Canis lupus familiaris: one gene and its partners. The protein of the gene in region 2 purifies or fractionates together with the protein of the main gene of each other region. This does not show direct contact. Links are inferred from orthologs where the notes say so. Each region holds a gene or a part of one and is shown on either strand. Other genes may lie near its edges. The genes, in order: COPG1, COPA and COPG2.

Region 1 (3,745 bases), on a different chromosome or scaffold from region 2:
ATTGCACCTTGGCGCAGGATCTGCCCCCTCCCCTTCCCCCCAGCCCCCAGCCCCCAGTCCCCAGCCTCCGCCTCCGCAAAGCCTAACCCTGGAGCCTGGCCCTCCCCCTGACTCCACTCCGGCTGTGCCGCAGGCCCCTCCGCCCCTCTCCTCCAGCGACCTCCAGGTCCTCGGCCGTCCTGGCTCGCGCTTGCCGGCCAGGTGCACTTCGGGACGCTGGCACGCACCGTCCTTACCTGAGCCTCTGTGTCCCGCGCAGGTGCCCAGGTAGACAAACTGCGGAGGACGTTCCTTTTTCCCCTTTCAGTCCATTCCCGCCTCCAGCGGTAGGGCGGCGCGTCTGGTAAGCGCTTGATAAACATCCAAAGTATTTTAAACAGCACCTTGAAGTTTCTAGGCTGTTTTTTTACTTTAGGTCCCTGAAAGTTAAAAACAATTTGCACCATGATTAGATGCGATGGGGAGGGGGAGATATGAATTAGTAAGAGAAAGTTCATGCATTTCATGCACGAAAGTTCATTCAAGAATTGACTGAGCACCTACTATATGCCACCGTTATCCACGGTGGTGAGTAAAAGACAATAAATTCAATAAAGTAAAAAAGCAGTGTGTTAGATGGTGATTCGAGCTAGGGAGACAAATCCGGCGCGGTTAGGAGACTGAAAGCAAGGCCTCCCTGAAGTGACCCTAGTAAGTGCTAACAATTGGGTGTCTACCGCGGCGGGCGTGCTAGGGGCCTCACCTGGGGAAGCCCGTTTAGACTAACGCCACAACGCAGGGAGGGGGGAACGACTGCTCCCATTGCACAAATAAGGAGGACGTAAGGCGCACGGCAGGGGTACACGTCAGCCCGAGTCCGAGGCCTCTGCCCTCCCCCGCAACTCCCGGCCCTGAGCCCTGTTCCTCCCCGGCAGGGAGAGGGTTAAAGCCGGGCGTAGCTCCGGGTTGTGCGCGTGCGCGGAGCGCAGATTGCGCGTGCGCAGAACGCGGGACTACGTGGCTGGCCGGAAGTGGCCTGTGCGGAGCTGCCCCCGGGTCGCTGCCGCTTGCTGCACGGGTCTGCCACAGGGCTGCTGCTTCGCGCCCCGCCGGCACCACCATGCTGAAGAAATTCGACAAGAAAGACGAGGAGTCGGGTGAGGGGGCGTAGGCTGGGGGAGGCCGGACCCTCGCGCAGGCTCTCTGCACCCGCCCGGGGAGCCGTCCTTCCGGGCCCCTTCCTCGACGGGAAGCCGAGACCCGGGGACGGGGGTGGGCAGGGGTTGTGCCAACGTCCGCAGGGGGGCAGTGGCAGGCCTTGGAGAGCCCGAGCGTGCTCCGCTGCCCCCTCTCGGGGGCTCGACCACAGTTCGCTGGGTGACCTTGGGTGGGTCATGCGCCTCTGGGGGCCTCGGTTTCCCCAGCTGTTAGGAGGAGGGGCCCGGCCAGATGCACCGTGGTGGCTTTCTCAGTGAGACCCCTTGGGATTCACGGGGCTGCGTTGCTGCTGGCCGAACGGGAGCGTAATCTGTGGAGCCAGTGCTGTGGCTAAGAACCCTCTTTCATTTATTTATTCAGTAAACATGTGTTGAGCGCTTGCCGAATGCCCGGCACTGTATTGCATCCCGAGATTGTAGTAGAACAATGAGACCCTCAGGGCTTCATCTGGGAATATTAAGTCACAGGCCTAGTGGAGAAGCTAGACACCAACCAGATAAAGACACACGTAATTGATTACAAATGTGACATTTGCTGTGAAGAAATCCTCGTCACTAGGAGACAATGGTCCCCACACATTGTAGGGACTCAGTTAAGTACAAGTTGCATAAATGAATGCAAGACACCACACTGAGAAGCACAGAAGGACTGTACCAGGGCTGCTGGGTGACCGAGTGGTTTCGGGTAGAAGGAGCTCCCTGCAGAAGAGTGGTAGGATCTATGTGCAAGTTGTAGAGCTTTGATTGCCCTTCTGGAGTAATTTGAACTTGACTAGGTAGACAGTAGTGACATCTTTCCCTTCTCTATGTCTGCAAGGTTTGCAGTTTAGGCTTCCAACCCATACTCACTCTTCTTTGCTCTGTAGGTGGAGGCTCTAACCCATTCCAGCATCTTGAGAAGAGTGCAGTACTCCAGGAGGCAAGTATCATTTACCTTCTCCATCCTAAGTGTTCATAATCAACGTGTTCAAAATACTAACACCTTTAAAGTGGTGCTTTAAAGAACAGTAAGGGAGGAACCTGTTCCTGGAAAGACAGGAAAACTTCCTGGAGAGAGTTCATTATGCTCGCCTTTGTTGTTGTTCCTGCTCTCTGTTTCTTTTTCTACTTAACAAGTGTTTATTAAAAACCTGTTAGTAAGTCAGCACATCCCTAACTAATATTTAGGGAAGATTTGAGGAGTGGTTAGTAGATGAATTAAGGAAAAAACAAAACAACACTGTTTCCTTATGAAAGTAAGCTTTTTAGGCAAATGTATTTATTTACCCTGGGACTTCTCAGATTTTGAATGTGCTTGAGTGCAATCAATGGGAAGGAAATAAACCAGGCTAGAAAGTAATGTTCTTGGTTGCTTTTTATTAGGCTCGTGTATTTAATGAAACTCCCATCAATCCTCGAAAATGTGCGCACATCCTCACCAAGATCCTTTACCTCATAAACCAGGTAAGAGGATGGAACTTGGGGATCCCTGGGTGGCTCAGCAGTTTAACGCCTGCCTCCAACCCAGGGTGTGATCCTGGAGTCCTGGGATCAAGTCCCACATCAGGCAGGGAGCCTGCTTCTCCCTCTGCCTGCCTCTGCCTCTGTCTCTCTCTCTCTGCCTCTCGTGAATAAAGAAATAAAATCCTAAAAAAAAAAAAAAAAAAAAAGGATGGAACTTGGGGGGTGAGGGAAATGGTGCTGGAGGTTGTTGGAGGGGTTGCTAAGATAGCCCTTCAGATATCTGACAGCTCCTGTGTGATGGTTGTCCAGCTCTGGGTCTCCTCAATGTCTAACTCTGATGTATTGCCCTTGGTGCCCTTGCCTCTGCAGGGTCTGAGGATCTGGCCTGGGCTGAACTGGCAGAAAGAGCCTTCTGGCCTCTCTGCCCCACACTGAGACTTTCTTTTTCGACTAAAACAGGGGGAGCACCTAGGGACCACTGAAGCAACTGAGGCCTTCTTTGCCATGACCAAGCTCTTTCAGTCCAATGACGTAAGTGCCCTCAGTCAGTATGGTCTACCTTTGTGTGGGTTGGAGTTTTCCTTACCTTGGCCCTCTTGCTGAGCCACGGGTCAGTTATAGGACTTTTCCTATTTATTTTCCAGCCCACGCTCCGTCGGATGTGCTACTTGACCATCAAGGAGATGTCTTGCATCGCTGAGGATGTTATTATCGTCACCAGCAGGTGAGTCTTAGGTTGATGGATGATGGTTCCCTTGATGGAGGCCATTGACACAGAGGCCGTTTTTTTCTCTTGTGTATCAGGCAATGAGATTTTGTTTAATATAATACCAGGCACCCTTTCCTCTTTTGTCTCCCTCATCCTTGTGTTACTGCTGCCTACCCCATGGCAGCCTCCGGAGTGTGCAGTTTCCTTTTTAATTCTCTGACCTTACCTTAGAGCACAAACCCTTCCTTGCCTTGATTCCTCTCAGTCAACTGAGCCACCCTGGAACTTTCACAAAGACTTTAGTGAGTACCAAGAGAGAACACAAGAAAAATAGAGTGCAGGGGTATACAGACAGCCTTGCTTACCAATCACTGGTTTCTGCTGTAGACTGAGTTAT
Region 2 (3,645 bases):
CAGGGCTAGAGAATAAAGGCTCTCTTTTCAGTAAATGACATTGGACAGCTGAATGTCCATAAGTAAAATGTGAAACTGAGCTCCCTGTACCTCACATGCCACACAAAAATCAACTTCAAGGAGATCACAGTTCTAGATATAAAAACAGAACTATAAAGTTTCTACAAGAGAACATAAAATAATGCCTTTATGACCTTGGAGTCGATAATGATTTCTTACATGAAATACAAAACCTAATATCCATAAAAGATAAGATTCATAAATTCAACAATATTAAAATAAGAACACCTGTTCATTAAAGGGTATCATAAACAGAATCAAGAGACAAGCTACAGAATGGAAAGAGACATTAAGATTTGCAATGTGTAGCCCTAACAGAGGACACATACTCAAATATATGAAAAGCTCCTAAAATTACCGAGGATAATTCATTTATTTTTTTTAAGATTTTTTATTTATTTATTCATGAGAATACACAGAGAGTACAACTCTCAGTGAGTTTGTAATAAATTTCAATTTAATTCTTCCTGAGATGGGGCGGCCCGGGTGGCTCAGCGGTTTAGCACTGCCTTTGGCCCAGGGTGTGATCCTGGGGACCTGGGATTGAGTCCCACGTCAGGCTCCCTGCATGGAGCCTGTTTCTCCCTCTGCCTGTGTCTCTGCCTCTCTCTCTCTCTCTCTCTCTCTCTCCCTCTCTCTCTCTCATGAATAAATTAAATCTTTAAAAAAATTTTTTTTCCTGAAATGTTAGGTAGAATTTGCCTGTGAAGTCATCCAGGCCTGGGGCTTTCTTTTATAGGAAGATTTTTTTTATGATTCAGTTTATCTTGTGTAATAGTTACAGGACTGTATGGGGTTTTCTAATTCTTTTTAGTCAGTTTTGGTAAATTTTACTTTTCTTGGAATTTGATCATTTAAAAAAGTGTATGCCTATCCTCATCCTACAAGAGCCAGAGGAATACCCCGTTTTCCATTCCTATTTTTGCTGTTCTTTTTTCTTAATTAGCCTAATGAGAGGTTTATCAATTTTATTTAGCTTTTGCCTTTATTGAACTTCTGTGTTGTATTTTTGTTTTCCATTTCTTAAAATTATGATTGGCTTCATTTTTTTTAAGTATATTCTTTGATTTAACTTAAAAGAACAAAGTTTTTGAGCCAAGTGCTTATTAATTTTCACTACATTTTAATTTTTTGTCTTATATTGATTCTCTAATGTATGTATGTAGAGCTCATTAGTCTTCAGTGTTTCTTTTAGTACAGTGTGTGCACTTAGCATCCTAGATTATCAGTCGTGTATTGTGTTAGCTGTGCCCATAAGTTTGATAAACTTTTTTTTTTTTTAAGATTTTATTTATTTATTCATGAGAGACAGAAAGGCAGAGACACAAGGCAGAGGGAGAAGCAGGCTCCCTGCGGGGAGCCTGATGTGGGACTCAATCCCGGACCCCCTGGGACCGTGCCCCGAGCCGAAGGCAGATGCTCTATCACTGAGCCACCCAGGCGTCCCAGTTTGATAAACTCTTAATTTTTGTTCAATTTAAAATATTTTTGCTTTTTGTTTATTTCTTCATGTGTCAGAAGTTTGCATCTCCTGCTCTTCTACTTTCACTTGTAGCTGCAAGGAAGGATTTAACTGGCCCGGTGACTATATATTAGAAGTTAAGATTTAACTTTAGGGAGAGAAAAAAAAAAAAAGATTTAGCTTTAGGTCTGATTCCTGTAGCCGTGTCTGTTGGCTTCCAGAATAATAGCTTATGAAGGGAGATCATATAATGTGCCCCATCTCTTCCTACTTCATACAAAAGAATAAGTAAATGTGGCATTTAGTTCTGTTCTTTTTTGACTTGCTTCCCATCTATACCATTGTGCAAATAGCACTTGGCAAAAGAGCAGTGACAAGCTGAAAAGTTGTGTCCTTGGCTTGTTCCAGGTCCTTACAGGTTGTGTTTTCCCCATCACTTGCTGAAACTTGTGCCCTCTAATTCCTGTTTGCAGGGACTATGGAATCATCCGAACCCTGGATTTACCAATCTATGTTACGCGGGTGAAGGGCAACAATGTGTATTGCCTGGACCGGGAATGTCGTCCTCGAGTGCTCACCATTGATCCCACTGAGTTCAAGTTCAAGCTGGCCCTGATCAACAGAAAATATGATGAGGTATAAACGAGAGTGCACACTGGGGGGTGTGAGAGAGGGCTGGCACTCCCTTTTTTCCTCTGCATGATCTCTTTTTCTGCCCGACCCCACCCCAAATGTCTAGGTACTGCACATGGTGAGGAATGCCAAACTAGTAGGCCAGTCTATCATTGCTTACCTGCAGAAGAAGGGCTACCCGGAAGTGGCACTGCATTTCGTCAAGGATGAGAAAACTCGCTTTAGTCTGGCACTCGAATGTGGAAATATTGAGGTGAGGGAGACGTGGTCATGAGCCCCATGTCATTGCAGAGAAGGTTGAGAGGGTTATGGTCACATTGTGAGGACATTATTCTAGGCCTCTTCTTCAGCAAGTATGATGCAATTTGAGATTTTTTTAGTTGTTAGGTAGAGCTGTCTTCCTGTTGCTGTTTGCCCATCTCTGCTACTTCCTGTCTCTGCTTCTGCCATAGCATTGCTACTGTCATCATTATCAGTCATTCTGAATTCATTAACTTCTAGAATTGGAGGAACAGAGCATGGAATCTGAAAAGTCTCATTATTTCCTTCACCTTTTACTTCCTGATTGGCTGCTTAGATGTAGTAGTACTTATGATATATTGGGACCTGGAGGGGTACTTGGGTGGCTCAGTCAGCATCTGACTCGATCTCAGCTTAGTGAGTTCAAGTCCTGTGTTGGGCTCCAGGCTGGATGCGGAGCCTGCCTAACGATAAAATAAAATCTTAAAAAATTGTTGAGGGGCGCCTAGGTGGCTCAGTTGGTTAGGTGTCTGCCTTCGGCTCAGGTCATAAGTTCCAAGGTCCTGGATCAAGCCCCACCTTGAGTTCTTGCTCTGTGGGGAGCCTGCTTCTCCCTCACCCTCTGCCTGTTGCACGCAGCTTGCACTCTCTTTCTGTCAAAGAAATAAATAAAATCTTTAAAAAAAAAAAAAAGTGGGGACCTAGAGTGTACAGGCATTATTTTTAAATGGGAGGAGGGCTTAGGTGAGTTAATTTTCTAGTTCTATTTTCTGTAAAAGTAAACATCTTTTTTTTTTTTTTTTTTTTTTAAGGCTCCCATGAAGGGAGCCTGATGCGGGACTCGATCCCAGGACTCCAGGATCACGGCCTGGGCCTAAGGCAGGCGCTAAACCACTGAGCCACCCAGGGATCCCCTAAAAGTAAATTGCTGAGGAGAAGGATAGTGTGATGTGATTCTTTCCATGGAGCCAGAGGGACTCTGTGTGGTGGTAGGAATTTTCAGTAGAATTAAACTGAAAACTGGGAGTGATTACAGCTATAGAGAGCCTGTGGGAAATTTATGTAGAGGCAGATACTTTGTAGTCCCTGGTTTTGAGTCACAGTATCTGCCAACCTGTTAACTCTGACCCTCGGGATTCTTTAGATTGCTCTGGAAGCAGCCAAAGCACTGGATGACAAGAACTGCTGGGAAAAGCTAGGAGAAGTGGCCTTGCTACAGGGGAACCACCAGATTGTAGAAATGTGTTATC
Region 3 (3,745 bases), on a different chromosome or scaffold from region 2:
CATTTCTAAACAGAACACTTAATATCTGTCTGTAGCAATTAGTAGATTTCTGGGGATTTTACAGTTTCCTTCAAGAAAAGTTGAGTACTTACTTTACTCTAAAGGGCTCCTTTTGATGCTTTCCCTAAAGAAAGCCCATGGGGCTGAGAAGTTGAAACAATGTCTCCACTTCAAGCAAAAGGGACTGCCAGCAAACCCTCGTTCTGCCAATAGCCAGTCACGTTCCACGTTTGCCAGGCAACCAAAGAAAGAAAGATTACCCAGAGAATGTTGTAGATGGGGGCTGATTAGGGGGCCCTGGAAGAGATAGACGGTAGGGCTTGAACCAAGGTGATGGCAGTAGGAAGGAGCAAACAGATTCAAGAGATATTGGCAAGACATAATGCATCAAAAAAGTGTGGAGGGATGGAAGCAAGAAGAGCCCACGGTGGAAGCTTCCAAGTACAGGCAGAGGTTAAAAGAGAATCTGGATCAAGTGATGACACTGAAGCCAAAGGTAGAAACAGTTTCTTAGTTACACTCTCAGACGGGAGAACCTGAAAGCCACACACACTTTAGGAGAAGGCTACGAGGAGTATGAATGCGCCTTATTGAGAGTTCTCTAAGTGTCAACGTGCTTGCAGGTGGGATCGTTGGAAAGGGGTGGGATGACACCGGGAAGCCTCTCTGAACTGGCAGGGTTTTGATGAACGGAAGGAATCCAGAAGTGTGAAGAAGCTTGGGCGCGGTAGTCCGTGGTCCAACATTTGCCCTCTTGTTCCGTCCCTCCAAGCGGGTCTCTTTCCTGCCTCCCACTGAGCGTCCTTCTCGACCCTCTGGAAACCCACCCTGACCAGGGGGCCCCGTGCTTTGTTGCAGTCGCCAAGTCAGGGAGTGACGTGCCGACCTCCGAGGCGGCCCGCGCACCGCCGAGCCTTTCCTCGCTCCCGAACCAGGAACCCGCCAGCCCTGTGCCCGGGGAGCGCGCCCGCCGCGACGGAAGGGCCCCGCAGCGGATCGTCAGGAAGGCCGCTGCCCTCCAGTGAAGGCGACCCTCCCGGCCGCCGCCGCCTCCCCAGGCTCGGGGGCCGCACCAGGCGCCGTCCAGGGCGCGCAGACCAAATAAAACCGCATTGTGCTCGCTCCGGGCTGGCGCTGCGGCTCGCCGGCCGGCGGGTGCGCCCCCCCGTGGGCCCCCGCCCCGCGCCCCCGCCCCCCCGTGGGCCCCCGCCCCGCGCCCCCCCGCCCCGCGACCCCCCGTGGGCCCCCGCCCCGCGCCCCCCCGCCCCGCGCCCCCCCCGTGGGCCCCCGCCCCGCCCCGCCCCGCCCCGCAGGGGCCGCGACGCACCCCGGGGGCCCAGCGCCGGCCCCGCCTCCGCGCGGCTGCGGGCGGGGCGAGGGCGTGGCCGCGGCCCCGGGGGACGGGCGCGGCCGCCACAGCCGGGAGGGCGGGCCTTCTCCCCGAGTGACGGGACGGCGACCCAACCGGCGCCGGGGCGCGGGGCCGGCCTTCCTGCAGCCTCTTCCGCTCGCGGCTGCGGCGCCTGGACGGTTGCGGTGGGTCTGGGCGCTGGGAAGTCGTCCAAGATGATTAAAAAATTCGACAAGAAGGACGAGGAGTCTGGTACGCGCTGGGCTGCCGACGCCCACCCTCGGCCGCGGGGCCCCTTCCCCGCCCGCCGCCACCTGCTCCCGGGGGCCGCGGACCCGCAGGCGTGGGCGCCCGGTGCGCCAGGGGGCCGGAGCTGGAGCCCGCCCCTCCCTCTCTCCCTCCCTCCCTCCCTCCCTCCGCCGGCCCCGCTCGGCTCCGCTCGGCCCCGCTCGGCCCCGCTCGGCTCCGCTCGGCTGCAGCCCGGGGCCTGCCCCTAGCCCCTCCCCCGGCCTCGGAGCCTCCCCTCGGGTCGCGCGCCCCGCGCCCGCCCCCGCCCCCGCGCCCGCCCCCGGGCGCAGCCCCTCGGAGCCGCCTCCGCCTCCGCCTCCGCCTCCGCCTCCGCCGCGCCGCGGGGGGGGGCGGGGGGTGCTCCAGGCCGAGGAGGCGGGCCCGCGGCGCGGCGAGGGGCGGGTGCACGCGCGCTGGGGGCGCCGGAGGTGGTCCGCCGGGACCGAGTGTGCGCGTGTGTGTGCGCGTGGGTGTGCGCGTGTGTGTGCGCGCGCGCGCGTGTATGAACCTGGAAGCGCCTTGGCCCTTCCAGCCTGCCCGAGGACCTTAGCTGTGTCCGCCTCCCAGGGGATTACGACTGGCCCACGGTACGGAGGATGCTCGAGTGGCGTTCTCGAGACCCAACTTTGATCCAGAGCGAGTGGGGAAGATGCCAAGCCACCTAAAAACACCCCCCCCCCGCCCAACCCCCCAACTCCCAAAGCACAAGCCCTCAGTGTTTGGTTCGGCTCTCCCATGGTGTGGTGGACGTTTGGGTTTAGTAAATCTCCATGGCCCCTTCCAGCTTGACAGCATTCTTGGCTATAAACTCTTTTCTGCCTCGAAGTAATTGTTGGAAACATGGAAGATAGCGCTTGTCTTTCAGGGAAATCCAAAAGGGTCCTACCACAGTCTCATTAATCTTAGCTGTGTGAACATAACATAGGCTCGCAACAGTCCCATAAAAAGAGGACAAGGAAAGAAGACACTCTTTTTGGGCAGGGATCGTGCAAAAGAGAAGTGCAAGATCCTCAGTAACTAGCAACGACAGCTAGTACCAGAATCCATATGATTTTATTCAGTTCATATGTGTATTAGTAACGCTTGTCACTGTGCTATCCAAGTGGTCGCTTCATCTAGGTGAGATATCCCAAGCATTCAGTACCCTTCTGTAGACAGTAAGTTTGTCTTGGACAGCTATTGAAGACATTTTTTGTTTATGATATAGGTAGTGGCTCCAATCCTTTTCGGCATCTGGAGAAGAGTGCTGTCTTACAGGAGGTATGACTTGGAAGTATATTGTGTTCTTTCTTTCTATTCCATTTTGGAATGGTGGGCAGAGAGCCTCCGGAATATGATGACCCGAAATAAGAATTGAAGGATGTAATAATTGTGTTCGGAAAATACAGACCTGAGGGAAGAGGAAGAGGGGTTAACTTACCATAGGAGGGTCTAGAGCTTACAGAAACGCAAAACTGTGTAGACACTCTGCCACATGTTGATAATTTTAAGTAAAATGCCAAAGAGATGTTTAGCACAAGGTTACTGAAGGAAGTTAAAGATATTAAGCTAATTATATTCAGATGATATAGATAAATATTACGATTCTTAACACACATAACGCCCATAAAGTTGAAGTACTAGATGTAAGGGAAGGAGTTAGTATAGACGGAATATAAAGACCAAAGTGTATCGTATACTGTGATAAATTGAAAACTGTAAGCAACTAACATTATGTGGATGTTGTGATCAAAATATGTAATAGTCTATTTGATTAAAGTTGATCTTTTGTAATATGATAGAAATGACAGAAAACATGCTGTTTAAAAATGTTTTTCGTTCCCACAGGCTCGCATATTCAATGAAACACCCATCAATCCAAGAAGATGTTTGCATATTCTTACAAAGATTCTTTACTTACTGAACCAAGTAAGCTATTTTGATTTTCCTCAGATTTGTTTCCTGGAAAAGAAATACATAACATTCAGTGAAGTACTTTTTGGAAAGTATAGTTAATTTCTTAAAATTCACTCAATTTAAAAGTATATAGTGTTTGATTAAGGTGATGATATGTAAAACTTCTTGAGGACAAGGATTATGACATATATTTCTGTTTTATTCATGAGG

What was found.
Region 1: the proteins of COPA (region 2) and COPG1 purify together in Homo sapiens (affinity purification with mass spectrometry; 6 studies listed by BioGRID and IntAct, counting the BioPlex papers as one, with this or other methods). This does not show direct contact. The link is inferred for Canis lupus familiaris from reciprocal best matches to the Homo sapiens genes COPA and COPG1.
Region 3: the proteins of COPA (region 2) and COPG2 fractionate together in Homo sapiens (co-fractionation; 4 studies listed by BioGRID and IntAct, with this or other methods). This does not show direct contact. The link is inferred for Canis lupus familiaris from reciprocal best matches to the Homo sapiens genes COPA and COPG2.

What each region holds. Positions count from the first base shown.
Region 1 is NC_049241.1:2,885,500-2,889,244, reverse strand, and holds the start of COPG1 (coatomer subunit gamma-1), read left to right. Parts: upstream 1-981; 5' UTR 982-1,099; coding exon 1,100-1,136; intron 1,137-2,062; coding exon 2,063-2,115; intron 2,116-2,558; coding exon 2,559-2,639; intron 2,640-3,098; coding exon 3,099-3,170; intron 3,171-3,283; coding exon 3,284-3,363; intron 3,364-3,745. UniProt on the Homo sapiens protein: The coatomer is a cytosolic protein complex that binds to dilysine motifs and reversibly associates with Golgi non-clathrin-coated vesicles, which further mediate biosynthetic protein transport from the ER, via the Golgi up to the trans Golgi network.
Region 2 is NC_049259.1:22,751,560-22,755,204, forward strand, and holds part of COPA (coatomer subunit alpha), read left to right. Parts: intron 1-1,995; coding exon 1,996-2,158; intron 2,159-2,261; coding exon 2,262-2,408; intron 2,409-3,539; coding exon 3,540-3,645. UniProt on the Homo sapiens protein: The coatomer is a cytosolic protein complex that binds to dilysine motifs and reversibly associates with Golgi non-clathrin-coated vesicles, which further mediate biosynthetic protein transport from the ER, via the Golgi up to the trans Golgi network.
Region 3 is NC_049235.1:6,177,668-6,181,412, forward strand, and holds the start of COPG2 (coatomer subunit gamma-2), read left to right. Parts: upstream 1-1,468; 5' UTR 1,469-1,566; coding exon 1,567-1,603; intron 1,604-2,846; coding exon 2,847-2,899; intron 2,900-3,127; exon of another isoform or gene 3,128-3,336; intron 3,337-3,466; coding exon 3,467-3,547; intron 3,548-3,745. Other genes in the region: TSGA13 (testis-specific gene 13 protein), read left to right, coding at 859-1,025. UniProt on the Homo sapiens protein: The coatomer is a cytosolic protein complex that binds to dilysine motifs and reversibly associates with Golgi non-clathrin-coated vesicles, which further mediate biosynthetic protein transport from the ER, via the Golgi up to the trans Golgi network.